Linked DNA regions of Ovis aries. The protein of the gene in region 6 binds, or shares a complex with, the protein of the main gene of each other region. Links are inferred from orthologs where the notes say so. Each region holds a gene or a part of one and is shown on either strand. Other genes may lie near its edges.

What was found.
Region 1: NUP85 (region 6) and CETN3 share a complex: the UniProt entries of both Homo sapiens proteins name them as parts of the nuclear pore complex. The link is inferred for Ovis aries from reciprocal best matches to the Homo sapiens genes NUP85 and CETN3.
Region 2: NUP85 (region 6) and NUP153 share a complex: the UniProt entries of both Homo sapiens proteins name them as parts of the nuclear pore complex. The link is inferred for Ovis aries from reciprocal best matches to the Homo sapiens genes NUP85 and NUP153.
Region 3: NUP85 (region 6) and NUP160 share a complex: the UniProt entries of both Homo sapiens proteins name them as parts of the nuclear pore complex. The link is inferred for Ovis aries from reciprocal best matches to the Homo sapiens genes NUP85 and NUP160.
Region 4: NUP85 (region 6) and NUP188 share a complex: the UniProt entries of both Homo sapiens proteins name them as parts of the nuclear pore complex. The link is inferred for Ovis aries from reciprocal best matches to the Homo sapiens genes NUP85 and NUP188.
Region 5: NUP85 (region 6) and NUP93 share a complex: the UniProt entries of both Homo sapiens proteins name them as parts of the nuclear pore complex. The link is inferred for Ovis aries from reciprocal best matches to the Homo sapiens genes NUP85 and NUP93.
Region 7: NUP85 (region 6) and NUP214 share a complex: the UniProt entries of both Homo sapiens proteins name them as parts of the nuclear pore complex. The link is inferred for Ovis aries from reciprocal best matches to the Homo sapiens genes NUP85 and NUP214.

The regions. Positions count from the first base shown.
Region 1 is NC_056058.1:87,599,611-87,604,236, reverse strand, and holds the start of CETN3 (centrin-3), read left to right. Parts: upstream 1-1,605; 5' UTR 1,606-1,732; coding exon 1,733-1,749; intron 1,750-3,728; coding exon 3,729-3,864; intron 3,865-4,626. UniProt on the Homo sapiens protein: Plays a fundamental role in microtubule-organizing center structure and function. As a component of the TREX-2 complex, involved in the export of mRNAs to the cytoplasm through the nuclear pores.
Region 2 is NC_056073.1:39,077,588-39,081,542, reverse strand, and holds part of NUP153 (nuclear pore complex protein Nup153), read right to left. Parts: intron 1,259-3,955; coding exon 1,087-1,258; intron 412-1,086; coding exon 327-411; 3' UTR 1-326. UniProt on the Homo sapiens protein: Component of the nuclear pore complex (NPC), a complex required for the trafficking across the nuclear envelope. Functions as a scaffolding element in the nuclear phase of the NPC essential for normal nucleocytoplasmic transport of proteins and mRNAs.
Region 3 is NC_056068.1:76,456,040-76,459,994, forward strand, and holds part of NUP160 (nuclear pore complex protein Nup160), read right to left. Parts: intron 2,893-3,955; coding exon 2,732-2,892; intron 1,485-2,731; coding exon 1,424-1,484; intron 627-1,423; coding exon 516-626; intron 343-515; coding exon 219-342; intron 1-218. UniProt on the Homo sapiens protein: Functions as a component of the nuclear pore complex (NPC). Involved in poly(A)+ RNA transport.
Region 4 is NC_056056.1:7,472,420-7,476,838, forward strand, and holds the start of NUP188 (nucleoporin NUP188), read right to left. Parts: upstream 3,170-4,419; 5' UTR 3,158-3,169; coding exon 3,126-3,157; intron 1-3,125. Other genes in the region: DOLK (dolichol kinase), read left to right, coding at 3,569-4,419. UniProt on the Homo sapiens protein: Component of the nuclear pore complex (NPC), a complex required for the trafficking across the nuclear envelope. Required for proper protein transport into the nucleus.
Region 5 is NC_056067.1:24,469,142-24,473,096, reverse strand, and holds part of NUP93 (nuclear pore complex protein Nup93), read right to left. Parts: intron 3,823-3,955; coding exon 3,683-3,822; intron 668-3,682; coding exon 535-667; intron 1-534. UniProt on the Homo sapiens protein: Plays a role in the nuclear pore complex (NPC) assembly and/or maintenance. May anchor nucleoporins, but not NUP153 and TPR, to the NPC. During renal development, regulates podocyte migration and proliferation through SMAD4 signaling.
Region 6 is NC_056064.1:55,594,700-55,598,654, forward strand, and holds part of NUP85 (nuclear pore complex protein Nup85), read right to left. Parts: intron 3,709-3,955; coding exon 3,639-3,708; intron 2,484-3,638; coding exon 2,362-2,483; intron 1-2,361. UniProt on the Homo sapiens protein: Essential component of the nuclear pore complex (NPC) that seems to be required for NPC assembly and maintenance. As part of the NPC Nup107-160 subcomplex plays a role in RNA export and in tethering NUP96/Nup98 and NUP153 to the nucleus.
Region 7 is NC_056056.1:5,558,024-5,561,978, forward strand, and holds part of NUP214 (nuclear pore complex protein Nup214), read right to left. Parts: intron 2,625-3,955; coding exon 2,442-2,624; intron 1,498-2,441; coding exon 1,412-1,497; intron 1,313-1,411; coding exon 1,229-1,312; intron 1-1,228. UniProt on the Homo sapiens protein: Part of the nuclear pore complex. Has a critical role in nucleocytoplasmic transport.

The DNA.
Region 1 (4,626 bases), on a different chromosome or scaffold from region 6:
AAAGTCAGCCACTGTTTCCATTGTTTCCCCATCTATTTGCCACAAAGTGATGGGACTAGATGCCATGATCATAGTTTTCTGAATGCTGAGCTTTAAGCCAACTTTTTCACTCTCTTCTTTCACTTTCATCCGAGGCTTTTTAGTTCCTCTTCACTTCCTGCCATAAGGGTTGTGTCATCATTGTATCTGAGGTTATTGATATGTCTTCTGGCAATCTTGATTCCAGCTTGTATTTCATCCAGACCAGTGTTTCTCATGATGTACTCTGCATATAAGTTAAATAAGTCAGGTGACAATATACAGCCTTGACGTACTCCTTTCCTGATTTGGTACCAGTCTGTTGCTTCTTGACCTGCATACAGATTTCTCAGGAGGCAGGTTAGGTGGTCTGGTATTTCCATCTCTTTCAGAATTTTCTACAGTTTGTTGTGATCTGAAAGTCAAAGGCTTTGGCATAGTCAATAAAGTGGAAGTGGATGTTTTTACCATCTTTACTTACCCAAATTTAGCTCATCCTTCTAGGCTTAACATATATGCCATCTCCTTCAAGAAGTCTTTCTTATACCTTCTGTGTTCTCTCTCTTCTCTAAACGTGTACATGTATCTCTTTATATTTATGCCACAGTTTTATATATCAATATCTTCCCTCTTCTGTTACTGGACACCTACTCTCTGGCTATTTCATTCCTTTTTGAGATTTGCAGTTTAGCTCAGTACTTTGCGATTTTTCACAGCAAGATTCCATTTAATGCAACAAATATCTACGGAGCAGAGGCATCAGACATTTACAACGAATCATACATTGTTTTAGGCACTAGGAATAGTGTTAAATGAAGGATATAAGCCTTTTAAGATTAGTAGGAGAGATGAACAGTAAAGATATTAAATGTCCAAGTGAGCTTTAAGAGACTTCGTTTGGTGGTGAAGATAACATCATGAGTATAAGCAGCTTACAGCACTCGAAAATAAAGGACAAAAACGAACAAACCAGTTCAAAGGAGGAATAGGGGAGCAAATGGCCCTTAGGTACAGCTTCAACCTTAAATAGCCTAATAATCCAACTCAGTGATTATCAAAATATAATCCGCAGTATCTGCTTCAGAATCATTTGAAGTTTGTATAAAAAAATGCAGATTCACACCTACTAGAAATTAGAATGAGTGATATTTAAATCTGCGTTTTAAACACACTCCCCATGTACTCAAACCATCCAAAAATGTACAATACAGTAGAGTCAAGTTTCGCAGACACAGTTCGAAAGCCGCTCCCTCCTTCTAGCCGGAGGAGAGCCTGCGGCGTATCTCATCCCTTCCCTTTCCACCGGGTCTCCGGACACTGGGCCACATGCCACAGCCTTTCTGGTCAGAAGCATAGCTCGCCACCTCCCACCTGAGTCCTAGCTTCTCTAGGATTGGGGTGGGGCGTGGGGGTGGGGCGGAAAGCAACAGGCCAATCTACAGGGGGAGAGGCGTAGCAGGGGATGCCGGCAGGGAGATCTATTTGATTGACGTGAAATAAGACCAATGAGAGCAGAGGACAAGTGACGCTTTCGCCTCAATGGGCAGGACGTTAGCGATTTCAACCAATCCAGCTCAGGAGTGTCTTGCTTTGTGGGAGGTTTTTGAGACCGCTGAGGGTCGTTGGCGTCTGTCGAACGGCTTGTGGAAGTCTTGCTGCTCTGGGTAGGGGGTTAAAATCGTTCTCGAGAGGAACGCCTCAGTCCGAAGAGAAAATGAGTTTAGCTCTGAGGTCGGTAATGAGGAGACGGCAGATGCACTCCACACCTCGCAGCGGGCCCCAGGGCGGTTGTGTGTGGAAGGGAAACAGCTGGGGGCCGAAGCGAGGAAGGGAATGCAGTTTGGGACGAGGGACGGGATCCTTGGTCAACGTTCCCGGGCCCAGACCCCTCCCCTTGGGGGCCCTGGTGAGCTCTGCACTTTAGCTGAGGCGGTCATTTCTGTCAGGGCACTGGCTTTAGACCGCCAAAAAGCCGGGCTGAGGTAGTCTTGAGGAGGCAGGGAAATATCGCGAGGTTTCAATGCGCGGTGTTTATGCGAGAAACCGGGAAACCAGGCCTTGGAGCATCCCTTGGTTCAGTGCCTTGTCCACGGCTTCCATCTCGGCCGACTTTCTGCTAACATGCGTGCTCAGTCGTTTCAGTCGTGTCAGACTCTTTGTGACCCTATGGGCTGTAGCCCGCCAGGCTCCTCTGGGTGTGGGTTTCTCCAGGCAAGAGTACTGGAGAGGATTGCCCTGCCTTCCTCCAGGTGATCTTGCAAACCTGCGTCTCCTGCATTGCAGGTATATTCTTTACCCACTGAGCCACCTGGGAAGCCCCCTACTAACATATTTACCCGTAAATTTTGGAAACAACGCAAAACCTCTCCTCTTTCTCCTGGGGCCCTGCAAAAGGGTATAATCAGAGGCCCCTTTTAGTGATTTTAGTTGGTAATCTCTTAGCTTTCCTAAATTTTCTGATTTTACTTTTCATTCATTTCCAACCTCTAACCCACTGTTTGTTGCTCCCTCTCCCAACCACAACTAAAAGTTTTACCTTAAAAGTGTTTATGTAGTTACGCTTCAGTAAAAAGGAAGCGAGTTCTGACGAGGAAATGAGGTCTACTGTCGGTGGGTTGTGAACTTTGGTCTGGTCGGAATCTTGGGAAGAGAATAACCCCCGGAGTTTCCAAGTTTTTGTGAATTCAGGTCTCTTGTGAAAGAAAGAGCTTTATCATAACCTCATTTGGTCATTTTCTAGTCATCTCTTGCCTTTTTAGAGTAGATTTCACAGAATTAAAGAAAAGTCAACTGGTTTTTACATTTTTAAAGTTTATAGAATTCTTGTTTCAAAGCTTGTACAAGTGTTGTAAGCCCCATATGAAAATTTGAAATGCTTATATTGGCACCTCTTAAGGAATACATTTCTAGTTTTTAGAGTAAATTACGTTTTGTACTTTAAGTTTTTTCAGAGTTTGTGACAAACTGTCTAGATGTACATGCTGAGATTTATGAGACAGTTGACTCTTCACCTTATATATAAATAAAATACCACAAATATTAAGTACTTTTTTGGTGTTTGATATTCGTGGTATGCTTACGTTCATTATTTTGGCTGATTTGTTAATATCAATGGGAGAAATTACAAAAAAGTGCCAGTTTAAAATGTGTAGTCTAAAAATACTAGTCTAAACTGTGCCAAAATAGTTTGTAAATTAATTGATGAATTAGATTTTTTGGCAATAATTTTGATAATTCTAAGCACTATGAAAGTAAACCTAATATATAGAGATCAACAATTGTGAATTGAATTCTTATTTTTTAAAACAGTCTGTATTGTAGAATGATGAGAATAAGTATGGGTGTTTGTTTTTTGTTGGGGTTTCTGACAGAACTGTTTCTTTTTCACAGTTCTTGTTTCTTCCACAGTAATATTAGTGGGAATGAATACAAAGCTAGGAAGAGGAAAAGCTAGGTCCTCATTTCTTTTAATAACCTTTTAAAACTGTAAAACTTTTCAGTTTTAGGGAGGTACAAATTTAAAGCAGCTTAGACAATGGATTGAGCAGGGCTTTGATTCATGTAAGGAAATTTTTTATAAAATACTTTTTAGAAGTTTAAAACATTCATTGGCTAATTTTTTTGTTGCATTTTTGGAATTTTATCATTTAGAAGCATATGACAATAGGATTAAAGTGGACTAAATAGACTTTTTTCTTATCATTCCATAGAAATGACCTTGTAGTAGACAAAACAAAGAGGAAAAAAAGAAGAGAACTCTCTGAAGAACAGAAACAAGAAATTAAAGATGCTTTTGAACTATTTGACACAGACAAAGATGAAGCAATAGATTATCATGAATTAAAGGTAATACACTTAAAATATATCTTTTCTATTAAAACATTTTGCATTTTTGTCCACTGATTAAAAATGCATTTCTAAATATTTTAATTGAACTGGTTTTGGAAATGTAAACCATTTTAAACATTTACTGTTAAGCTAAGCTGAGTCACTTCAGTCGTGTCCGACTCTGTGTGACCCCATAGACAGCAGCCCACCAGGCTGCCCCATCCCTGGGATTCTCCAGGCAAGAACACTGGAGTGGGTTGTCATTTCCTTCTCTAATGCATGAAAGTGAAAAGTGAAAGTGAAGTTGCTCAGTTGTGTCCGACTCTTAGCGACCCCATGAACTGTAGCTCACCAGGCTCCTCCATCCATGGGATTTTCCAGGCAAGAGTACTGGAGTGGGGTGCCATTGCCTTCTCCAAAAGTTGAGTAGTACTTGTATCTTTTTAGAAACTCCTTTTCACATGGTAAAATGAATAATATTTTAAATGTAAAAATATATTCCTATAGAGGGGCTTATTTTTCATTCACATAATTAAAATATTTGAAACTGAAGGATTTAAACAGTCTAACCATATTCCTCTTCCTATTGTATGTTTTTTTTTTGTTTTTTTATGACTCATTCATTTCTCAGATTGAGGCAGTGTTATTTGTTTTCTAATTTAAACATGTTAGTAACAGTCTCAACCTATTTTCTCTTATTCAGATGATATAAGTGGTGTCTGATGTTGATGCAGTGCTAATGGGGAAAAATATCAGTTTTAAGTTTTAGAATTTTTTATA
Region 2 (3,955 bases), on a different chromosome or scaffold from region 6:
GTGCAGACGAAGAGGTTCTATACAAAGCCATTCTCCGAGCAGACTCGATTCCTGGGTTCTGCCAGCCTATGCCAAATCAGTGAATAATTTGCTGGATCATAAAATAATTTTGCTGAAGAATCAGTCACCAGTCTAGCTATTATTTTTTTAAAAAGGGGGGGTGGGAGAGGTGAAGTTGGGCTTCTATAAAGAAAAAAGGAGGAAAATTCCCAAATTAAAGAAGTCCTTAGGCAGATCTGACTTCAGATAACCCAGTATTATAGTACAATCCAGTATCTGAAAGCAGTGCACCAGCTGTTAACAGTGTGTGTAACACACCATGACCTTTATTTCTTGCGTCTAACAGCAGTCTTTATCTTTCGACCAGAAACCGAAGTTCCAGAAGAAGAGAACATGTTTTTCCCATTTGACCTGCGAAAAATAAAAACTCTGTAACGTGACATGATGCTCACATAAAATCTCACAATCATAACACTGTGTGACTGGTGATGGGGGGTGGGGAGACAGTGTTACAGGAAGCACACTGTTACACCGCATACCTACACCTACACACACACACACACACACACACACACACACACACGGGGGGTGGGGAGACAGTGTTACAGGAAGCACACTGTTACACTGCATACCTACACCTACACCTACACCCACACCCCCACCCCCACACCCCCCCCCATGCTCTTTTGCTTGATAGTAATACGGTAAATTGGTGGAGAACATACTTGATTTTACCTCAACTATACTGCACCTGGAGAAGGCAATGGCACCCCACTCCAGTGCTCCTGCCTGGAAAATCCCATGGACGCAGGAGCCTGGTGGGCTCTAGTCTATGGGGTCGCTAAGAGTCGGACACGACTGAGCGACTTCACTTTCACTTTTCACTTTCCTGCATTGGAGAAGAAAATGGCAACCCACTCCAGTGTTCTTGCCTGGAGAATCCCAGGGACGGGGGAGCCTGGTGGGCTGCCGCCTGTGGGGTCGCACAGAGTCGGACACAACTGAAGCGACTTAGCAGCAGCATACTGCACCTTGATGATTCTAAACACACACACACGCACATATCTCAACAGAAAGTTCTCTTACCCCACAGTAAACGCTGCTGAAGCCTGGCTAAACTGAAAGCCGCCTGAGCCAGAGGGCTGGGCTGAGGCTGCAGGTGTGCTGGGACTCGCACCAAATGTGAACACTCCTGACGGATTGTTGTTGGTGAAGTTGAAATTTGTCGCAGTGCTGCTGCCAAACTGGAAAATGGAACCTGAAATCGTTGAAGCAGAAAAACCTCATTAAGGTAAAAATGATGGTTTTCTAGTAATGACTCTGACTTTTACATACAAAAACATGTGAAGGGTTAAGTTCTCCTATGGTCACTTAAAAAAAAATAAGTAATTTCTCTACAGACAAAATATATATCTGACACCCTCCAACAAGCGACCCAACTCACCCGTGACCAAGGGGAAAAAGGGCTGAGTGACTTCTGACTGAGATTGTGCAACCAACATATTGAGCGCTACCTTTTCCAAAACTTATGTTAAAATCACAGTAAGGGGAATTTACAAAGGTAGGGAGAGAAAGAGACAACAGAACAAAATTTAGAAGCTGGAAGCACGATGGGAGCCAAATACTAAACTGGTAGCAAGAGAAAGCACAGAAGGCATTCCATTTACACTAACCATCTCCACAAGGTTTAGGTTCCAGGTACTTCTGGAAGTGAGAACGAAGTCTGCTTCTTAAACAGTTACTCTACCATCCTGCCTTGTTTTTTTGTTTTTTTTCTTTTCTTTTTTTCCAGTAACTGTTTAAGAAGCAGATACCCATATCAATCCCTCCCCAACAAACAGGATGAGAACTCTCCTCCTCTACCTAGCAGAAGTACAGACTTCTAGTCTCTGGAGAGGCCTCTGGACTGGGGCCCATCACACACAGAGGCAAGGATACCTACTGAAAATAGAAGGACTAGGAGCAGGCTGAGTATAACGAATGCTGAGAACTGCAGCCTTCCGCCCTGACTCAGCTCCCAAAACACTGGCAATCACGAGGATTTATGCCCTTAAGACAGGAGGCTTCAAGAACCTTCTCTGCGGAATGTGACAGCCCAAAAGGGGAAACCTAAAGATACTAACATTCAGCTCTTGGCAAGAGGACAAGCCAGTTAGAGAAACCTACAATGATATTAAAATTAAACCCTTTGCCCAATGGGCAAACAACCTGAACAGAGATTTCTCCACAGACAACACATGGGCATATATAATAAGGATGCTCGACCTCAGCAATCATCAGGGGGAATGCAGATCAAATCCACTAGGAGATATCATCTCTCAGAACAGCTATCGATAAGAAATAGCAAGTGCTGGCAAGGATGTGGAGAAAAGTGAACCCTTGTGAACCGCTGGTGGAAAAGTAAATTGCCACAGCCACTAAGGAAAACAGTATGGAAGCTTCTCAAAAAGTTAAAGAGAAAACTACCATATGATCTAGCAATCCCATTCTAGGTATTTACCCAAAAGACTTGAAACCAGGATCTCAAAAAGGTATCTGGACTCTTATTCACTGCAGCATTATTCACAATAACCTAAGTAGAAACAACCCAGACATCCCCAGACAGACGCACAGATAAAGGAAATGACGTGTCCACATAAAATGGAATATTAATCTTGCAATTTGAAAAAAACATGGACGCATCTGGAGGACGTTAAGTGAAATAATGCATGAGTTCACTTCTATGAGGAATCTGAACTAACCAAATTCACACAAGCTGAAAGAACAGGGGCTGCAGGGAGAGGTGGGGGTGGGGAGATATGAAGAGGCGCTGTTCAGAGCAGGTGTAAACTGTCAGTCATGCAAGATGCTCAGATTCTAGAACTCTGTCATACAACACTGTGCCTACAGTTACCAATACCTGTGCCTCTGCTGATGAGTAGACACAACTCATGTTAAACATTATTACTACAATTTAAAATAAACAAAACCCAAACACTATGAGTAAGAGGCAAGAAGCACCAGACATCTGAGGAAAGTATTTCGTAAGAAACACTAAGACTGAAGCAATAATAAAAAAAGCAATTTGGAGAAAACAAAGCAAAAGCTATCAAACGGAAAAACAAAACAAAAACTCACTGTTAATATCCTCAAGAGATCAATAGATAACACATCTAAAACAAAAGCAGAAGGATATAAAAAAGAACATCGATGGAACAATTTCCACTAAGAAAATAAGCAATACATGCAGAAGTAAAATCTCAGCAGGTGTGTTTCAAGATAAAATTGAGGAAATCTTCCCAGGAAATACAACAAAAAGTAGGAGACAATGGAAAAAAATGGAAGATAAAAAAGAATGAGGTGCAAAATCTCCAAAGAAATAATTCAAGAAAATTCCCATGAAAGCAGCTTATAATAAATAGGACACACGGCCTTCCTAACATCATCCAAGGATAAAATGGATCCAGACCAGGAACATCCTCATAAGCAAAGCACTGGAGGCAAAAAAGTACTCTAATGATGCTCCAGAAGGAAAAACAGACCAAAAGCAAAAGTAAAGAGACTGCAAGAGCAACTAACTCTGGGAGCTAGAACATCCACAATGGGAAAATGCCCTCAAAATCATTAAAAAAAAAAAAAAAAAAAAAGAGTAATTTCAATTCTAAATATATATTGAAACAAAATCTTACCCAACATGGGGGCAGAATAAAGATCTTTCCAGAAATATAAGGTCTCAAACTTTTCTTCCCTGTGTCCTTAAGATATCATGGGAAGATGTATTCTCCCAAAACAAGGGCATAAGGAGGAAAAAGATGTGACACTCAGGAAACAGATTCCTTTAAGAGGAAGCTAGAGGGAATCTCCATTAGAATGGTCATTAGAATGGTGACTTAGCATCACCTTGACACCAAAATCAGACAAAGATATCACAGGAAAAGAGAATTACAAGCCAGTATCAATGATGAACATCAATGCA
Region 3 (3,955 bases), on a different chromosome or scaffold from region 6:
CTTGCCCACACAAAAACCTCAGTCAACTACCAAAAAAAAAAATCCAGACGACACAAAAACTTCTTTAGAGTTGGCTTATAAGTTGGCTTGTGTGATCACTGCTTCATACTAAGCAACAGTGAAGTAAATAGAAAATTAAGAATATTTTAGAAATTTAAGACTAGGAAATCAGACTATGTTAGGAAGTTAAGACTATAGAAAAGCAATTTTATACATACTTGAAAGCAAGTCCTTCAAAGACTGGCGTTAAGGGAAGCTTGAAAGTCTGACACAGTGATACAGCAGTGTCAAAAAGGCCAGCCTGAACCAGGAGAGTGACCATCTCCTCTGCGGATGAACTTCCTGTGGAAGTGGAAACGAGCTATTTATTGCAACCACTGGACATGCCAGTGAACTGAACCCAAAGACCGTGCCCTTGGTGAATGCCCAGAATAACGACGACACACTCCACACCCACATGGCACACTATGTCTGCTGCCCGGGCCTGAAACGCACTGTTGGTGCCGAATGCCCACCTGCGACAGCAGCCGCCGAGGGGTCGTGCTGAGCCAGGGTGAGGCGAATGCGGGCCAAGGAGCACTCCTTCTCCAGATCTTCCAGTTCCAGGATTTCAATCTGTCTATTCGCTATAAGCCAAAGGAAAACACTGTCAATTCCCAGAGCACAAAGGAAGTGCCTGTTAGACAAACGCAACCCGTCAGCTTCCACTAAACACTAAGTCACTGTCCGTTTAATTTTAGGAAGATATGGTGAAAACAAGGGGCTCAATAAAACAAACAACCCTGCTTCACTCTAGAGCCGAGTCAAGTCAAAGCATTCTAATAACAGCTTCAGGGAGGCGCTTGCAAGGAATTAACTCTTACAACTGTGAAATACTGTCATCTTTATCAGTAAGGAACATGCCCAAAGTGAGAGGCAGGATTAAAGCCGAGTGTGTCCAACTCTAGAGCCCGGGCTCTTTAAGGAAGGGAATCGTGGTCCAAGACTCTGCTCCCACTGCGGGGGATGGGGGTTCAACCCCTGGTTGGAAAACTCAGAGACTACTTGCCTCGAGGCACCATCACGGAGAAAAGGAAAAAAAGAGAAGGGAAATCATGCCTCTATAGAGACACTAAAGGAACCTAATTTAAAAAAGTATACTAAGCTGACTTGAACACGACAAGCAACAAACACACACACACCCCTTTTTAAGGATTTTCATTTCACACACAGGCATACAAAGTTTTCGAAGGGCAGCCAGACAGAATACTGATAAGATATTTTACCATATGTTAACAAAGTAACTACCATACATATACAGTATACTATACTATGATTGTTCATACTATAATAAGTACCATATAAAAAACAAGTAAATATAAATACAACTAGTGTAACAATTAAGTGCCATTCAGTGAAAGTCAGCCTGAGATCCCCGACTCACTTGGGGCAGCTGTGCATTCTCCATCATGATTCCTTTTAGGGGATGCTCCAGGGCGGTCATACTGAAAAGACAAAGCAAGAGATTTAACTGTGAAAAATCAGTATTTTATTTTAACATCATTAACTGTGATCCAGGGCTTTCATGCTTAAATTTTCCCAGCGTAAATTATGTCTATTTCAACTAGCACAGCTCTTCTCACAAAGTTACTGGAACCTCTAGACAAAGAAACACGGCTCACTTAGCTAAAATTGTACTGAGTCCAAAGACACTGATTTGATGTCCATATAAACCATCTGACCTTCTTCGGTTTACAAAATTACATTCTTCACTCATAACCCTGGAAAACAGAACTATGCAGAAACTATACAAGTAACTGGGAGTACCCCAACAGCATGATAAAACAAATGACCCTCACTTATTAAATGACATACTTATTAAAACTCAAGGTTCACCTCCTTTAAAACAGTAACAATACATTAAATTAACAAAAATGAATGAAATAAAAACAGCTAGCATTTACTGAGCACTTTCTGCAGGCCAGGCACTGTCACTATTCTACGCAATCTTACATGGGTTATCTCATTTAATACCCAAATAATCCTGTAAGGTAGATATCATTATCATCATCATTCCTGTTTTATGCAAGAGGCTAACTGGACAATACAAGATACAGTAATTTGCCTGAAGTCAGGCTGTCTAATTCCAAAACCACTCTGTAATATTGTTTCAGATTATCTGATGATTTTGAACTGTGGTGTTGGTGAAGACTCTTGAGAGTCCCTTGGACTACAAGGAGATCAAACCAGTCAATCCTAAAGGAAACCAACCCTGAATATTCATTGGAAGGACTGATGGTGAAGTTGAAGCTCCAATACTTTGGCTACCTGATGCAAAGAGCTGACTCACTGAAAAGACCCTGATGCTGGGAAAGATTGAAGGTGAGAGGAGAAGGGGACGACAGAGGATGAGATGGTAGGATGACATCACCGACTCAATGGACATGAGTTTGAGCAAGCTCCGGGAGATAGTAAAGGACAGAGGAGCCAAGCATTCTGCAGTCCATGGGATCGCAAAGAGTCTGACATCACTTAGCAACTAAACAACCATACTTATTCCTACAGTAATTCTGAACTTGGAAACCAAAGGGGGTAGTAACATAAGACAAATGAATCACTGCAAAAAATAGATTAAGTTCACAAATATCCCAGAGGAAGTTTTAAATGAAATGAAGCAAAATGAGGTATTTTCAAAAGACCAAACAAAATAAGTTAAATTATCCCCAACTTCCGGCATACAAAATTTTCATACCACTGCACCAGATGCTGGCTGAACAATCCACGCGTATTCTGGGCGAATAAGTCGTAAGCAATTAATGGCAGCCAGATAACAGTTGCCTTGCTTCTCAAGTCCCCGGATAGTTCGAACCTCTCTGCCAAGACGCATTCCATACTCAAACATCACTGTGCCAGCTATGAGGCAATAACAGATACGAGGATTTCAAACATGTGTCTCTTTAGAGACACAGAGAAAATCTGTCACATTTACCAAATGTTAAAATTTAAGAAAAAAAATCAAGTTTAACTTAAAACAACAAAAAATCACATGTTGCCAAGAATGTGGACAAATTGGAACCCTTGTGTTGTGCTGGAGGGAATATAAATTGGTATAGCCACTAAGGAAAACAGTTCTTCAAAAAATCAGAATTAGTTTATAATTCACCAATTCTACTTTTGGGTGTATAAACCACCCCCTCCCCCTAAAAAAACCAACTGAAAGCAGAGTCTTAAAGAATTATTTGTATATCCCTGTTCATTGGAGTGTTATTCATAACAAACAAAAGATGGAAACACCCAAGGTTCCATCAAAATTGTTATCAATACATCCATACAATAGAGTATCGTAAATTCTGATGGATGCTACAAGATGGATGAATCTGAAGATGTTATGCTAAGTGAAATAGGCCAGTCATGAAAAGTCAAATGCTAGAGGATTCTGGTAGCCAAATCTGTTGACAGAGAGTGGAATGGTGGTTGCCAGGAGATGGGGAAGGAGGGAATGAGAAGCTGATGTTTAAGGAGTATAGTTTCCGTCTGGCAAGGTGAAAAGAATTCTGGAGACTGGCTACACGGTCAGGTGAAGGTGCTTAGCACTACTAAACATGTAAAACAGTTAAGATAGTAGTTTCTATTACATGTACTTTACAATCCCCAAGAAAGGCAGGAAAAAAAAAAAGTTCTGAAAACATCTAAAATGTTACTTTTCAAGTTTAGATACCACATACCCAGGTAGCACAGAACACTAGCTTGGAGAACTAGTTTCAACTCTGTGGTCACCTATCACCACCCAGGATCTGAGTGTCTGTTCAAGGTCATAAACTCTTTTTTTTTTTTTTTTTTCTGGCCGAGTCATACAGCACGTGGGATCTTTGCTCCCCGACCAGGGATTGAACATGCGTCCCCGTGTTGGAAGCTCGGAGTCTTAACCACTGGATTGCCATTGAAGACCCCCAAGATCATACTCTCATCATTGTTT
Region 4 (4,419 bases), on a different chromosome or scaffold from region 6:
CTAAGTAGGTAGCATTGATTCCCAAGAGACTCAGAATACCACCACCTGTACTCAAGGACCACCTGCCAGGATCCAGAATTCTTTGTTTACTCAAATCAAGCTGTGGGTTATTTGTTACACCAAAATCCATACAGTTCAAACAAACAATTTCCCAAAAGAGTGTTTCTCAGAATGAAGTTGGTCCTCAGGCCAAACAGCCAAATCAACTGAAAACAATACAGTAACATTGCAGAACCCTGGTCATTCCCAGAACCACACTTTCTCAGAGGTTAGGCTTGGGAAATCTACATTTTAAAATCAATTCCTAAATCACCACTGCTGGAGGGCATCAGTTTGTCTCAGAGGAGCAGGTCAAAGACCTGGTCAGTATAGATTTTTTTTTTTGCCTTTTATGTCTGACGAATCGGCTTTTTTGGGGGGTGGAGAGGGGAGAAAAAGATTCTGCTACAAAACAAGACTGAAGTAATGCAGTAACTTTTATACTTACTAATTAAAAGAAGAAAATAGCTATTTCTTTAGAAATATTCTCATTTGCAAAACCAAGTCATAGCATGGTCTTTTTGTTATAAGGTGTCAAAAATAATGTTTATTGAAAACAAGCTGGCTAACAAGATGAGCCAACATTTACTGAGCAGTTATGTGGGGGACCGTGCTAAGTCTTTAATGCTTTGTCTTACTGAATATTTCAACTGACCTATGAGGCAAATACTATCCGTATCATCTCATCAGGAAACTAAGGTTTCAGAGTGGTTAAGTAACTTCTGTAAGGCCACAAAGCTAATATTTAATGGAACCAGGGCTTGAACCTAGGCTTGCAAGACTCCAAAGTTTAATCATTGTAAGACAGGGCGTCAAGTTGTACCCAGGAATTCACTCTGCAAGCAGATAAAGACTGAGGTGAAGTTTTCTGTCCTACAGTGGTATATCATACTCTAATACCGGGGCTGGCACACAGCAGGCCACCTCAATGAGAAGCCTGCGCACCACAACAAAGAGTAGCCCCTGCTCACCACAACTGAAAAAAAAAAAAAAAAGCCCACACAAAAGCAATGAAGACCAGCAGAGCAAAAACTAACAAATCAATTTTAAAAAAACAAAACTCCAAGTCCCTTTCAGACCTGCAAACTAACTGGAACAGAAAAACTAGAAAAAAAAATTACATGCAGAAGTGCCAAGACATGGCAGAACAAAAGAGAAAACTGTAGCTTATCAGAAAGGAAATCATCCTAGAAATGAGTGTTACTGGCTCCTCAATTCCTACACATTTATGATCTAGGAATAACGGAAACCAAATAAATCTAAGACCTTCACGACACTCATAAACTTAGTGTTGGGAATGATAAAGGATGTTAAACATAACACATTCAGCTAAAAAGTAGAAAGTACCAAAGGGCAGGACCCTAACAATTAGACACTACAAGGAATATAACCACAAATGACAGAAAAGAGTCAGAGAAGACAGTGATCACTAGGAACTAACCCAGGGATTGAAGGAAGACTTCACCTCAAACAGACCTGGAGGTTTGAGCAGGTGATTCTCAAGACTCAACAGACAAGATTGGAATTGTGATGTCCAATTCAAGCCTCAGGGTAACATTATCTACATATACTTTCAAGAAATGAAATAAGTGCTACAGTATCTGTCATTTATTTGCACAACAAGTAAATAAATTTGAGATAAGTACAAACTAAGGCACAGAAATTAAATAATTTGCCTCAAAAGTGAGATTCAAAAAATTTATTGACTTGCAGCCCAATGTTCTAGCAGACAACATGGAACTCCACTTCTCTAAAAGCTGGAGTAGGTGGAAATAGGAAATAATCAGAGATATCCACGTGGTTGGAAACCTTTGGATGAAAGCAACTAAGAGATTGGAAATACCACGGAAGTAAAAATCCCTTTCATTAAAGAAGCCGCCTTGCCCTGCAGGAGCTAAACTTTACCCAAGATCCACAAGGACTGTAAGATAAGCCTGAGAAAAAGAAAGCACGGTGACCACGATGCTGCCCGACATAAGAGCTGACATGACACAACGGATGGAGGAAGAAGCAAACCGGTTCTCACAAAGTTCAGAAGCAGTTCAATGGACATTCCACAGATGAAAATCTCACTCAACAGAGAGGTGAAAGAAGCGACAAGTGGAATAAACATTTACTGAGAGTCTATTACTGCTCTTCTGGGTGTTGAGGCTACAGCAGTTAAGTGAAGAGGACAAAAAAGTGGGGAGACGTTGCTGGAACAAGGGGGAAAAAAAAGTGGCAGGCGCGGTTGGGCGGGACGGGTGGAAGGGAGAATGGAGAACACTTTGAAGCTACAAGTGAGAGATGCAAGTGCGGCGATCCGGCTAAAGCTTCCGAGTGGGACACTCCAGCTGGGAGCTGGGTTTGTGAGTCATCTGTAAATTACAAGGTGCCTCCCCAGAGTTGTGGGAGTTCAAGGAGATAACGCGGAGAACCAGAAAGCGCGTCGCCAGGGTTTGGCGCTAGTACGCTAGTAAGAACTGTCTTTTTAATATTTTCTCTTCCTGCCCTTTTAAAGCCCAGTAACAGCGCCCGGGATGCCGACTGAAGGAATCAGTGCAAGAGAAAACAACTAGATGGATGAATGAAAGAGCGGCGGAAAAGGGCAGAAACCGCAAGGAGGTGGTTCCGCCACTCGCGAAACAGACCTCCCGGCAAGAGCACATGGCGGAACCGGGGGAGAGCCCGCCGGGCACGGGAGGCTGCGGCGGGGACCGGGTGGGGGCTCCCCCGGGCAACCGCGAAGCTCCCCGTCGCGCCTCGAGGGAGCGTCACACCGGACAGGAAGCGCGGTGAGGGGGGGAGGGGGCGCCGAGGGACGCGCCGCCGGGAGAGGGGAGGGAAGGAGAAGGGCCGGGTGAGGAGACGGGAGGCCGGCGCCTCGGGAAGGGGGGAGGCGCCGGCCCCCCTTTCACAGAAGTCGCCTCATATCCCCGCGCGCGGGGACCGTTTGGCCGTAACCGCCTCCCGTCCCGGCGCCCGTACACCTAGCCGGCCTTCATCCTGCCACTGCCGCCACATCTCGCCCTCAACTCCCGCCCCGGCTTGCGCTTGGTTTGGACCCCGCGCCTCAGTCATCCCCGCCGACTCGGCCCGCTCCGCACCTCACACACGGACCGCCGGCGGCAGCCGCCATCTTCGCGCGCGCGCGCGCCCCCAGCCCCGCCCCCAGACGCCACGCCCACGTGACCGCGCGCTTCCAGGGCGTGGACCGGGTTTTCGTCACGTGGGTGCGGGGGCGGGGCCAACATGGCGTTGCCGGGAGAGGTGAGGAACCCCAGGCAAGCGCGGCCGAGGCTGTGAGGGAGGTGGCAGAGGGGAGACGTCTACGCCGTGAGTGGGAACTGGTGGAGGAAAGCCTGACGCCGACTCCCAGGCAGCATAGAGTGGCCTACAGTGGAGCTTCCTTTCTGGAGGAAGCTGAAGAACGGAGAAAGAAGGTGCTGGCAAGGCGAAGCTACCGCTGTCTGCCGGGCGGGGGTTAAAGGGCCAGAGTCCAAGGCATCCCTAGTCACCCCGGTTTTCCGTGGGTCCGGAGTCTAGAGACATGACCCGAGAGTGCGCTCCCCCGACCCCTGGGTCCGGGGCTCCGCTGAGTGGCTCCGTGCTGGCAGAGGCGGCGGTGGTGTTCGTAGTGGTGCTGAGCATCCACGCAGCCGTGTGGGATCGATACTCGTGGTGCGCCGTGGCCCTCGCGGTGCAGGCCTTCTACGTTCAGTACAAATGGGACCGGCTCCTACAGCAGGGAAGCGCGGTCTTTCAGTTCCGAATGTCCGCGAACAGCGGCCTACTGCCCGCTTCGGTGGTCATGCCTTTGCTAGGACTGGTTATGAAGGAGCGCTGCCAGGCTGCGGGGAACCCATATTTCGAGCGGTTCGGAATTGTGGTGGCAGCCACGGGCATGGCAGTGGCCCTCTTCTCCTCAGTATTGGCCTTGGGCATCACTCGCCCGGTGCCCACCAACACCTGCGTCATCTCTGGCTTGGCTGGAGGCGTCATCATTTACATCATGAAGCACTCGCTGAGTGTTGGCGAGGTGATCGAGGTCCTGGAGGCCCTGCTGATCTTTGTGTACCTCAACATGATCCTGTTGTACCTGCTGCCTCGCTGCTTCACCCCTGGAGAGGCGCTGCTGGTCCTGGGTGGCATCAGCTTCATGCTCAACCAGCTCATCAAGCGCTCTCTCACTGTGGTGGAAAGCCAGGGGGACCCCTTGGACTTCTTCCTGCTCGTGGTAGTGGTAGGCATGGTGCTCATGGGCATCTTCTTCAGCACCCTCTTTGTATTCATGGACTCGGGCACCTGGGCCTCTTCCATCTTCTTCCACCTCATGACCTGCGTCCTGGGCCTTGGCGTCGTCCTGCCCTGGCTGCACCGCCTCATCCGCAGGAACCCCCT
Region 5 (3,955 bases), on a different chromosome or scaffold from region 6:
CCCCATCAAAAACCCTATCCGAGACCATTGGCTGGCGAGCCCCTACTCTTCAAGCACTAGTATGGGCCTCACTTCCCGCAGAAAGCCAGCCTCCTGTGTATTCCACCACCCTCGGTACACAGATCTGGTTCAGCACTCTGCACACAGCAGGTATCTGAACTGTGAGCTGAGAAGAAAGGCACTTTCTAGGAACCATATCTAACTCTGTTGTGCTAGCTATTTGAGTCAACAATCTCAGAAGTCATCCCTGACTCTGTGGCTCACACCCATAGCCGAATTCTTCCACCGTCCCATTGGGTCCACTTTCAAAACACGTCCAGAAACCAATGACATCAACCCCCTGCACCCTCCTCCTCCACCGCCATCCCCTGGACTCCTGAGCCACCAGCCTTTCCAGGTCTCCTAGGTTCTCTTCCCGCCCCCTCTGGTCTCTTCTTCATACAGCAGTTTCCACACATTACCTCATTTCAGCTGAAAATGCCTATCTCAGAGACTGACCTGGAGGAGTAACTGATCGCATAAAGGTGCCAGTACCTGAAGTCCAGGCAAAGGAGCTGGAAGTTTAATGTTGAGGAAACTTCGAACCAGTTGGTAAGTCCCTGGCACTCCGCCCAGCTGGGCCTGATGCAAGTTTCCAAAGACAGTCACAAGGGTGTAATTCTTATAACTGGAAAAAATTTGAAGGCACAAAAAAGGGAGGCGAGTTTGAAAACACATCTTACACGTATCTGTGTCCAGACCCACAACATTAGACTGTGAACTCCACATGGCAGGGCCTGGACTTCAACTGAACACAGAAGACGAAACAGAAGTGCATGCTTAATGAAGCAAGCTACATTATTGATTTGGTGGGTGGTGGATCTCTGTGAAGACTTCTTATCACTGTGGATACTCAAAAGAATTCCTGGAGCCACATAATTGTGAATTTCAAATGCAGAAGGGGCTGCTGTGCAGAAAAATAAGTGCTCCGCTCACAGCCTAATGCTCTAGTGGATCTTCTCAAACTTTTTACTTTGAAAAATTTTAAAGCTACAAAAAATTAAAGAATAGTTCGACGAGTGCTCAGTTGCCCTTTACTTACATTCGTCAGTTAATATTTACATGCATGCTCTTCCCTCTCTCACACATACATTTTATCTGAACTATTTGAAAATGTTATAAAAATACAGAAATCAGGTGCCACCTAATCTGTAAATGAAAAACTTTCAGGTGCATCATATGCACTAAAATGTTCAACATCAGATTAAGTATAATAGCAGACTGAGAGAGAGACACACACACACACCTCTCAGAGAAAAACATCTAAATGTCAATTACAGAAAACAGACTCATCAGAAATTGATGTAGTTTTAAAAAATGATACTGACAAAAAATTTTACAAGCAAACTATATAAAACCATATATTGTACACACTGGGATCATAAGCTATGTAAAAGATAAATATCAAACAAAATATTCATATGTCCCAGAAAGGTGGTGGGGTTGGGTGTGGAGGTGGCGGTAAGGAAATACAACAAGGTACCAGGAGCCCCTGCATGTGAGAGGGGGGGCTGCTCCTTTTTTCAGGTCCTCTTTTTGGCATCTTTCAAAATTTCTATAATAATCATGTAGTATTTTTATGATGAAAAATAAACATAATTTGATTTAACAAATATGAGTTCTCTATCACTGGGAGTATTTAAAAGCAGAGGTTGGAAAAGAGATTAGATAAGAGCCCTGTGGCAACTGGGACAAACAATGCCCATTATGGTCTCTTCCAGCTTGAATGAAGACAACCGACATGCTGGAAAGGGCCTAACTTCCTTGAGAGCTAAGAAATGCTACCTTGCTTCAAATTTGAAATACTCAAAAAATAATTTGGGGCCAGGCCTGCTTTGCCATCTGGTGTATTACATCACTTGAAACACTGGGACTTCCCTGGTGGTCCAGTGGTGAAGACTCTGCCTTCCAACGACAGAGGTGCAGGACCAATCCCTGGTTGGGCAGCTAAGACCCCACATGCTTCGAGGCCAAAAAACCAAAACATGAAACAGAAGCAATGCTATAACAAATTCAATAAAGATGTTTAAAACGGTCCACATCAAAAAAATCTTAAAAAAAAAACAAAACTGTATGTTATCCTCTCAGTGGATTAGTACCAGCAAAAATATTTTTTTAAGTGAGTACAGTTATCTGAAATATTCCCTTTATCAAAAGGGACAACAAATCCTTAAAAAAGATGTCAAGAGAGAGATGCTGTTAGAAAAAGAAAATAAGCATATAATAGTTGTGCACAGGAAACTCCCGAATAGCTCCAAGTGCTGCTAAAGGAATTAATGGAACAAGATCATCCTAAAAAAACTAAATGAAAAGAATAATAGAAGAATTGGGATGGCTTACATATATAAAATCCCAAACTGCAACCTGGTATCTCTGGTGAAGTCAAACACCAACAGTGAGAATTAGGCTTACTGAAGAAAAAGCAGTCATATACTTAATCCTTAAAAAAAACCACCCTAATATTGTTTATACACTGTGAGAAATTTTTTGATTCATATTTTGCTAACTTGTAGCAAATAAATACCACTATATATATTAGGTTTTTCATGGCTGAAGACTTAACAAAACTTACATTATAAAAATTGAGTGAAAGCCTGATGTAATACTTTATGAACTCTTTGCGCCTGTGCCAGAAAAAATGAAACACCATTTGCAGTTTCAGATTTTTCTTAACAAAAGAATGGAGGCTAGTGAGTTTAATATATCTGATGGTGTTCATCTTGTGTAGCTATTAAATAATTTAGTATTTGATATAAAAATCTGTTCTCTCTCTGCAGTATCAAGTCTTGAATTACCTTGACTTCCTAACAGAGTATTATTTTGTTGACAGAAGGTGACCACACAACAAGGCCACTGGCAGCTGCATGGGTGCAGAGGCAAAGAGCTGCAATTGAGCAAGTGTATGCAGCCTGCCTTTCTCTTCTCCAGCCAACAGAGAGAGGCCCAGCACCCTGTCTCTGAGATAAAGAGGGTCTACTGCACACTCATGACAACACCTGCTGGTCAATTCAGAGCTGGGAGGAGTGTCCACAGGGCGTGGATGAATGGCACAGCCCCTACCAACTACGGGGCCAACAGTCAAGGCACAAGGGTACAGCCGCAAACCCCTGTGACCGACTCCAATTAGTGAGGAGGTGGCAGAAACCTAGGCACAAATCAGAGGCTTTAGCAGCTGGAAGGATCTGAACTCACAGGATTAACCAAGCAGAGCCAGAAGGAAAACAAAAGCTCAAGGGGCCTTCCTAGGGTTTGGAGGTGGTAAAATGCCGGGTGGGAAAATTAAAATGTTGAGAGAAAACCAAGAGCCTGAGGAGTAATGGCTGAACCCCACGAGGGCCCAGGATCCTGACCCAAGGCATTGTGCCCTAATAACCCTGTCTCTATACTGAGGGACGCAGGGTGGAGAAAGACAGAGAGAAAAGCCTAAGAGGGCTCAGGGCTCCCACTCACGTGATTTTACACCTGTGCAGAGACAGTTCCCATAGAGAAGTGCTCCTAAAAACAGCGCAACATCTCTCAGACTTGCTCAACCTTGTTTAAATCACACCAGCTCCAGAGCACTTATCTAGAGAACCACTTCAAACAGGGGAACGGCTACCTTCAGGGGATTTTAAAGGCAGCCTCTGTGCTGCCGCCGCCTCACCTCTGCTCCAGGTACCCCAAGGCCTGCCTGACAAACTCCATGCGCACTTCCACGCTGTTGCGGCTCTTCAGGGCGTCAGTCGCTGGCACCAACAACACATCTGTCATTTGTTTCACCATGGCCCACATGTCGGAGATGTTCTGCACAGAAACAACACTGCATGTGACAACGCTGTGGGGCTGCGCAAGCGGCCTGGTTCTCCACAGTGCTCTGACGTGGAAGGGGCTGAGGTTAACGTCCTATCTGCAGCCCTCAGGCTCAAGCCCAGCAAAG
Region 6 (3,955 bases):
AGTGCATCAAATAAAGCACTGATCTGTAAAAGTTTCAGTTAAAAGAAAAAGTTCTAGTTCAAATACTGGGTTAGCCAAATTTGGTTCAGGTTTTTGCATGCTATTTTATGGCCTGGGTTCAATTCCTGGTTGGGGAACTAAGATCCTGCTAGCCACGGCAAAAGAAAAGGAAGAAGAAGCAAGCCAAGGAAACACATGCTGCCCAGTCCCAGTCCCTTTCCCTGATTCCAAACACGCACATCCTGTTGCCAATGGCTCCACTTGGTTCACAGGCACCTTAACATGCCTCGAAATGAACACCGGGTCGCTTCCAACCCACCAACCCACATTCTTCTCTTTCTTACACATCCAATTCATTAGCGAATCCTATCACTGTACCTTTAAACTGCATCCAGAATCAAATCACTTCTTACCACCTCCTCCACTCAGCTCCTACCCGGGTCCAAGTTACCACCACAGCTGCCTGATTTAGGACCTGAGCCTCCAGGCTGGTCTCTCCGTTCTGCTTTTGCTCTATTCTCAGCAGTGCAGCCAGAAAAGCCTTTGAAAACCTAAATCAGGGACTTCCCTGCTGGTCCAGTGGCTAAGACTCAGTGCTCCCAATGCAGGAAGCCTGGGTTCCATCCCTGGTCAGGGAACTAGATCCCACACGCCGCAATTAAGAGATCACATGCTGCAACTAAAGAGCCTGCATGCCACAACTAAGACCCAGCACAGCCAAATAAGTATTTTTTAAAAGAAAAGGAACTCTAAGTCAGATCACAGTGTTCCTGTGTTTGACTCTCTAATGTCCTCTGTACCCCAGCTGACTCAGGAGTAGAACGGGAGCTCTACTGTGTCCATCAGCCAGGTCATACCTTTATCTCCTTCAGCTAACCGAATCAGAACAGCTCTGTGGGACAGGTGTCACACTCTCCAGGCCACACACGAAGAAACTAAAGGCAGTCAAGTGACTCACTAGAGCTCACAGATGGTAAGAGGCAGAGCTGGGATGCTAACCTGGCCAGCTTGGCACCACAGACCCTGTTCTTAGCATTCAACTACCCTGCCTCTCTGGGGCTTTCCTGGTGGCTCAGTGGTAAAGAATCCTCCTGCCAATGAGAAGATGCAGGTTTGATCCCGGGGTAGGGAGGATCCCCTGGAGAAGGAAACAGCAACCCATTCCAGAATCCTCGCCTGGAAAATCCCATGGACAAAGGAACCTGGTGGGCTATAGCCCACAGGGTCCCAAGAGTCAGACAGGACCAAGTGACTAAGCATCACCACCACACTGCCTCTCTAGGAGCTGAGCCCTCACTCCTCGTCACCTCCTCAGGTTCCTACTCACACGTCACCTCACAAGGGTGCCCTTCCTCGACTTTAATACTCCCAATTCCCCTCTCTTGCTCTTTCTCTCCAGAGCGCTTCGCTTTTACACATATTTTACTTGCTTCTATATTTATTTCCGGTCTCCCCACCCAGAATGCAAGTTCCGTAAGGGTAGGAACCACTGCCTGCTTTGGTCCTGGTTGTTTCCTCAGGGCCTGCACACAGCACCACTCAAATACACAGTGAATGAATCACACACTTAAACCCTAGGCCCAACCATTTCTGAACAAAGGCTCTCCCCTTTACCTGCACAGATCTCGGAGCACCCGAAGGCCTCAGAAACAGCATTAAAGGCAGCAGCTCTTTACCTGAATTTCAGATGATATAAGTCTCCAACATTCAAGTCAACCAGCAACCTCCGCCCTGGTCGCTCCATACTGGGTCATAGGTCAGTATAGGTGAATGGAAAAGTACTGCTCTCCCAGACATAGAATACACACACACACACAAACTTTCAAACTGACCATCCAAAATGACTGGGATCATCAATGTCTTTGTTTTTAATAGCTTTACTGATTGCAATGTACACCTTATAAACATTTACCTGTTTAAGTGTCTAATTCGGTGAATTTGAGTAAGTTTATGGAGTTGGGCACTATCATCACAACTCAGCTTCAGAACACATCTAACACCTCAAAACCGCCCTCAGCTCACTGACATCAAACCCCTACCCCAGCACCTATCCATCGGCTTTGCACTGTCTTCACCAAGTCTCATTCTTAGATCCACAAACAGATCAAAATTCCCTTCTCACTGTGAAGTCTACAAAGCATTATTTTTCTTACATGATAACTTAGTTCAAAACTCTCCCATGGAGCAGGGAAGAAAACACCTCCCTAAGCACGCCTCCCTAAGCACATCTCCATGATCACAGACTCAAAGAACAACACGCACACGGGTTCAGCAGGGAAACCCGCAGGCCAGCCCAGGGGCCCAGGCCAAAGAGAATACGAGGAGGAAGGCAGGGAGGCCCAGCACGCACAAGGGTCTTACCAAGTTCCAGAAGCTCTCGTGTTTGCTTGGATTCTCACTGCCCAGAACATCTGCTGACAAATTGTCCACCTCGCACACATGCAGTCGGACCCAGTCAAGGAGGTACAGGAGGAGAGGGCCAGCTGGGAGGAAACACATAAGCAGTAGATTCCACTTTCTCAAAGTACAGAGAATGTAGGGCAGGCGAGCGAACTATGGTGGAAGTGGTCTGTCCCTCTTCAGTGAGCGGGCGTGTGCTCCTGACAACAGGGCTGAGCTAGCGAATGGACTTCTGTGGGCACCTCCTCTGTGCCACGCAGCTCAACCTTTCACTGAATCGTTGGGGGCGCTGAACATGAGACCCAGATCTCACCAGCCCGACCACCCCCAGCTTCTTCACAACTACGCAATACTCGGTGACATCAGCAGTGGCCATATGGGGATGGCACTGACTAGGTGCCAGGTACACAAACGTGATAGAAAGACAGCAACAGTCCTCAGAATCTACTGGAAGAGGCAAGCAGACAACCAACCAATTCAATTTCAGGCTGCTCAGTGCTTGAGCAGGAGTTATGAATAAAAAGCTGTGACCACAGAGAGACTACTAATACACACTTATGGACAACAGTAAATACAAACCATTAGAAGAAAGCAAAAAGGCCTACAGCCCCTCCACAGAGAGCCCACTGTACTGCCCACAGGATACTGTACTGACCACAATCAAATTCAAGATCAAGGGAATAATTCAGAGTGGACGCATGAAGCTGTAGGGTTGCCCCTGACCCAATCACCAGCAAAGGAATTCTCTAAGGGATTCTGCCTTCCACCACCTAATCTTGCCTCACATCCGTACAACATTTTTCATTCTTAAAATTTTAAACAACAGAAATGTACTGTCTTGTGTTTCAGGAGGCTAAAAGTCTCTGGAGCTGGGAGGGCTGGTTCCCTCGGAGGCTGAAGAACCTGCACACACCTCTCCCGAGCTTCTAAAACTTTCTAAAGCTTCACCAGTCCATGGTATAAATATGGACCACCCCTTTCGCACACTAGTTTAATATCTGTTTCTTCATATTTTTTAGGGGTCACCTGCCTACAACTAAGGTTTTCAGAAGATACTCTGACTCTTTGCAGTATCTTGACAAAAACACAGGCTTCTTCAGGCATCCTGTAACACCTCCCAATGCTTATATTGATGAAAAGCAACGAAAAGAGCATTCTAGGCAACAAAACACTCAGCACAGCACAGGACAGGGTAGGGGGACACCTCTGCCGCTGTGACAAGATCATTCTGTGCTCACCTGGGGCTACTTCGATAAAAAGAATCTCACAAAGGTTCCAAATGAGTTCCATTGCCGACAGAATGGAGACCTAAGGAAGGAACAAGTTTTGACTGAAAACGTCCCAAAGATTTTTTTCCCCTAGAGCTAAGAAACAAAGCAGAGCTTGAAACACATGATGGTCATTCATTAACTCAACATTTATAGACTGTTCCTATGGTAGGGGTCCCCACAAGACAGTCAGAGAATTTTAGGGGGTGGGACACAGAATAATAGTTTCTGTTTTAATGGTTGTGGTTTTACTTTAATGTGCGTTAGGAAAATGTAGGTAGCTCTTT
Region 7 (3,955 bases), on a different chromosome or scaffold from region 6:
AGGTAAGGCTTTATGCCATGTTACTTTCTACCATGAATTTCAGAAGTCATGTTACTGTCTGTGTATTGGAAACACCAAAACCAAGCAAAAAACAGCCCCCTCGCCTCCTCAAGTTATTTAAAAGTATTGCTAATACTTACTGACTTATGTGTCCTGTGGGCGCATCACTCTGCAAGATTTTATGTATCATAATGCGAGTGTAACATGGGCTTCCCTGGTGACTCACTCAGTAAGGAATCTGCCTGCAACGCAGGAGACCCAGGTTCGATCCCTGGGTCGGGAAGATCCCCTAGAGAAGGAAATGGCTACCCACTCCAGTACTCTTGCCTGGAGACTTCCATGATCAGAGGAACCTGGTCCGCTGTATGGTTCATGGGGGTGCAAAGAGTCAAACACAACTGAGCAACTAACGCTTTCACTTTTTTCAAACATAATATAAACAATTGCAAGTGAAAACCACGCATGGGGACTTCCCTGGCAGCCACAGCCAAAAGAATTTTTTAAATTAAAAAACGCTGTACTAGGGCTACTGCTAGGTGGCAATGTCAGTTTGGTAGCCACCAGCCATGTATGGTTATTCAGATGAAAAACAAATGAAAAATTTGACCTCTAAGTTGTACCATCCCCCTTAAAGCACCCAATGGCCACCAGTTAACTGCTGTATTGGACAGTACAGATCCAACACCACAACCACGGCAGGAAGTTCTACCGGGCAGCACTGTACCAAAGTGTTCCGAGGCAAGTCAGTGTGCAGCACAGTCCCTCAGAGTCCATTCATAACTACCTGCGCCTGCACGTTCTATGTCTGCATCTCTCATCAGAGTAGCCACTAGTCACGCGTGCCTGCTGAGCAGGTCTTTTTTCAAATGCAGCCTTACTCAAAATCCGACACAAATCAGAAAAGTAAAGCTTTCCCAGCTAAAGCGAAGGCTAGGACCCCTGGAACCAGTTCAGCGTCCCCCCAAATCCTTGGCAATCACTGCCATAGAACCTGAGGACTATGGAAAACACAGTGTGAAAGCCGAAACTACCACCTCGAGTTGACTATGCATAAGCTTCTTCTTAATCCCATATTCAGACGGATGACAGATTCTAGAGACACTTCCTCTATCTCCCATTAAGAACCAAAGGAAAACACACACAGACACACACACACACAAACCCCATCCTACTCCCACACAATGTACTATACAGTTTATCCTAAAAATTCAGGACCGGGTTCCTCTACCTGGAGCAGTGGATCTCACTGGGGGGGTCTTCCTTTTGGCCAAGAAATTTCTCAGTTGTGCCTGTTTCACGGGGGACAGTTTAGCTGCAAGAAATTCGTGAACCCATAAATGCTTAAAACTTGGTTTTTAAGGTCAATAGATGAAAGAGAACAGAGTTTAAAGACTGGGGAGAATGCATTTACCTGGTACTTTAGGCAACGGTTTGGGGTGAGACTCTAGAGTCGTTTTCAACAAAGCATTGCGCAGGCTTTCGAGGTCACTGTCAAAACTGAAAGAGGACAATGTTACGTATGAACCAACTATGACCTGAGAAATTGGGACTCATGGTAATGGTGATGGTACATTATCCTCCCAAATACAAAGGCAAGAGATAAGAGCATCCTGAAAAGGAAATGGAAAATCTGACCAAACAATGAATTAACCCCAAAGGAAAATGATCAGTCTCACTATCACATCCCACCCCAGAGCAAACACAACCCCAACAGGGCTCCAGAAGGAAGGGCAATTAAAATCTATACATTCAGGCTAAAGGCAGTTACCACTTTGGTAACTTTAGGGGTAAACTGTCTAAGGCAGGGTCTGAAATCTCCACACTTGCAAAATGACAACTCTGAGTTTCCAGACAAGTTGATCAACCTAATCCTGACAGCTAATTTTCAATTGAACAATAATGCTATGACTACAGTACCAGCTATTATCTATCGAGGGCCTGTTCCATCAGGCACACTGCTAGGTACTTTAAAGACTTAAACCCTCCAGTAACCCCATGAGGTGCACATTGTTAGTTCCCTGCGTGCACGCATGCTCAGTCATGCCCAGCTCTTTCGCAATCCCACAGACTGTAGTCTGGCAGGCTCCTCTGCCCATGGGATTGTCCAGGCAAGAATACTGGAGTCGGTTGCCATTTCCTTTTTCAGGGGCTCTTCTTGACTCAGGGATCAAACCTGCGTCTCCTGCATTGGCAGGGGGATTCTTTACCATTGAGCTACTTGAGAAGGCTATTGTTAGCCCCACTTTTTGGCAGAAGGAAAAAGGATCAGAGAGGGTGAGGAATCTGACCACGATCACAAAGATGAAAGAACAGCAGAGTCACTTTCAAACCCACATCTCAACTACTCTGTGACTAGTCCACTTTGCTCTGTGTATTTATTCGCTCATCCCGCCTCATTTACTAAGTGCACGTGGCATTAACAGACGTGTTCTCCTGCACACCTGTGTGTGGTGCTCTGGGAGGGAACATCCAAGGGAAGGCTCCAATGGGAGGTCTGGTTGTAAAGTCGGAGCTGCTGGAGACTATCCACCAGGTGATTCAGCCTCTTCCTCTGTTGGTTGATGATTTCCCGGTTGTTGGCAAGAGTATTAAATAGTGTCTCTCGTTCTGGCACAAGCAGGCGCCTGTTTAGACCAAGGAGGAAAGAACTGTATAAGAACGGTTCAAATAAAAGAAATTTCTACTGGAAAGAAAGAAAAAGGACTGTAACAGTGAAAATAATAAAATGAAGAACCACTAGTGGGAAAGAAACAGCAAGACGTTACTAAGAGGGACTTTTTTGGTGGTCCAGTCATTTAAAATCCACCAGCCAATGCAGGAGACAAGGGTTCGATTCCTGGTCCGAGAAGATTCCATGTGCCATGGAGCAACGAAACCTGTGCTCCGTAACAAGAGGAGCCACCTCAGTGAGAAGCCCGAGCACAACTAGAAAGTAGCTCCCACTGTCCACAACTAGAGACAGCCTGTGTGCAGCAATGAAGACCTAGCATAGCCAAAAAACAAACTAGTCAATTTAAAAAATAAGCATGTCTTCAGAGTGCCGTCAAGAAACAGAGGACAGCACATGACTTGGCAGCAGGGGGTCCCCTACCCAAAAGAATTAAAAGGAGAAAAGGACAATGGTCCCTTTCTTTCTGGTGACAAGGTCATTAGCTCAACATATATTTTTAAAAGGCATTTCAGTGGGGTTCCAGATAATATTTGGAGAAGGGTCTAAAAGAGAGACGTGCCAGCAAACCATATAGATTTAAGAATCAGAACTCCGAAGAAAGGAAACTTAAAAAAGGACATTAAGTATAAACAGAAAATCCATGGGGTTGTTTAAAGGAGAAGAAAGCCTGGCTTTTCTTGTTAGCCTCACGCACTTTTTAAAAAGTCAACGTATTAATTAGACAAGAGTATTCCAACTGTCAAGCCGAGCAGAACGTTCATGCTGTCAAGTCAAGCCATTCTCTCACTTGGGGAGGAACATGAATTTAGCAACAAGGGAGTGCACTCTGAAACCTCTTAGAAAGGGGCCAGGCTGCCCCAGGGACAAGGGCTCCAGGGCACAGAATCTGCCCCTGCCAGTGTTGGGAAGATCAATTTTCACCTCTGTCTTACCACATCTATGCTCTGAGGTTCCTCAGGTTAGGGACAAAGACTTTCTCCACGCTGTACAATATCATGTATTAAATTCTGTTTACTGAATTTTAAACACATTCTACCCCTGCCCCTGACACAACACTCAGGCTGCCCTACTTAAGTCTGTGACCTCACAGTTTTGTAAACAAATAAACAGATCATTTCCTGGTTTATTTCCTTACAAGGCTAATCACACTGATCAAGTGTAGGTGTTTCAGAAATCTAGCATTTGGAGGGCTGACCTATTTTTCACATCATCTTATTGCTTTCACAATGTACTGCATTCTATTCCTTCTGGAAAACACAAGGCATCAAACCAAACATCCATGGA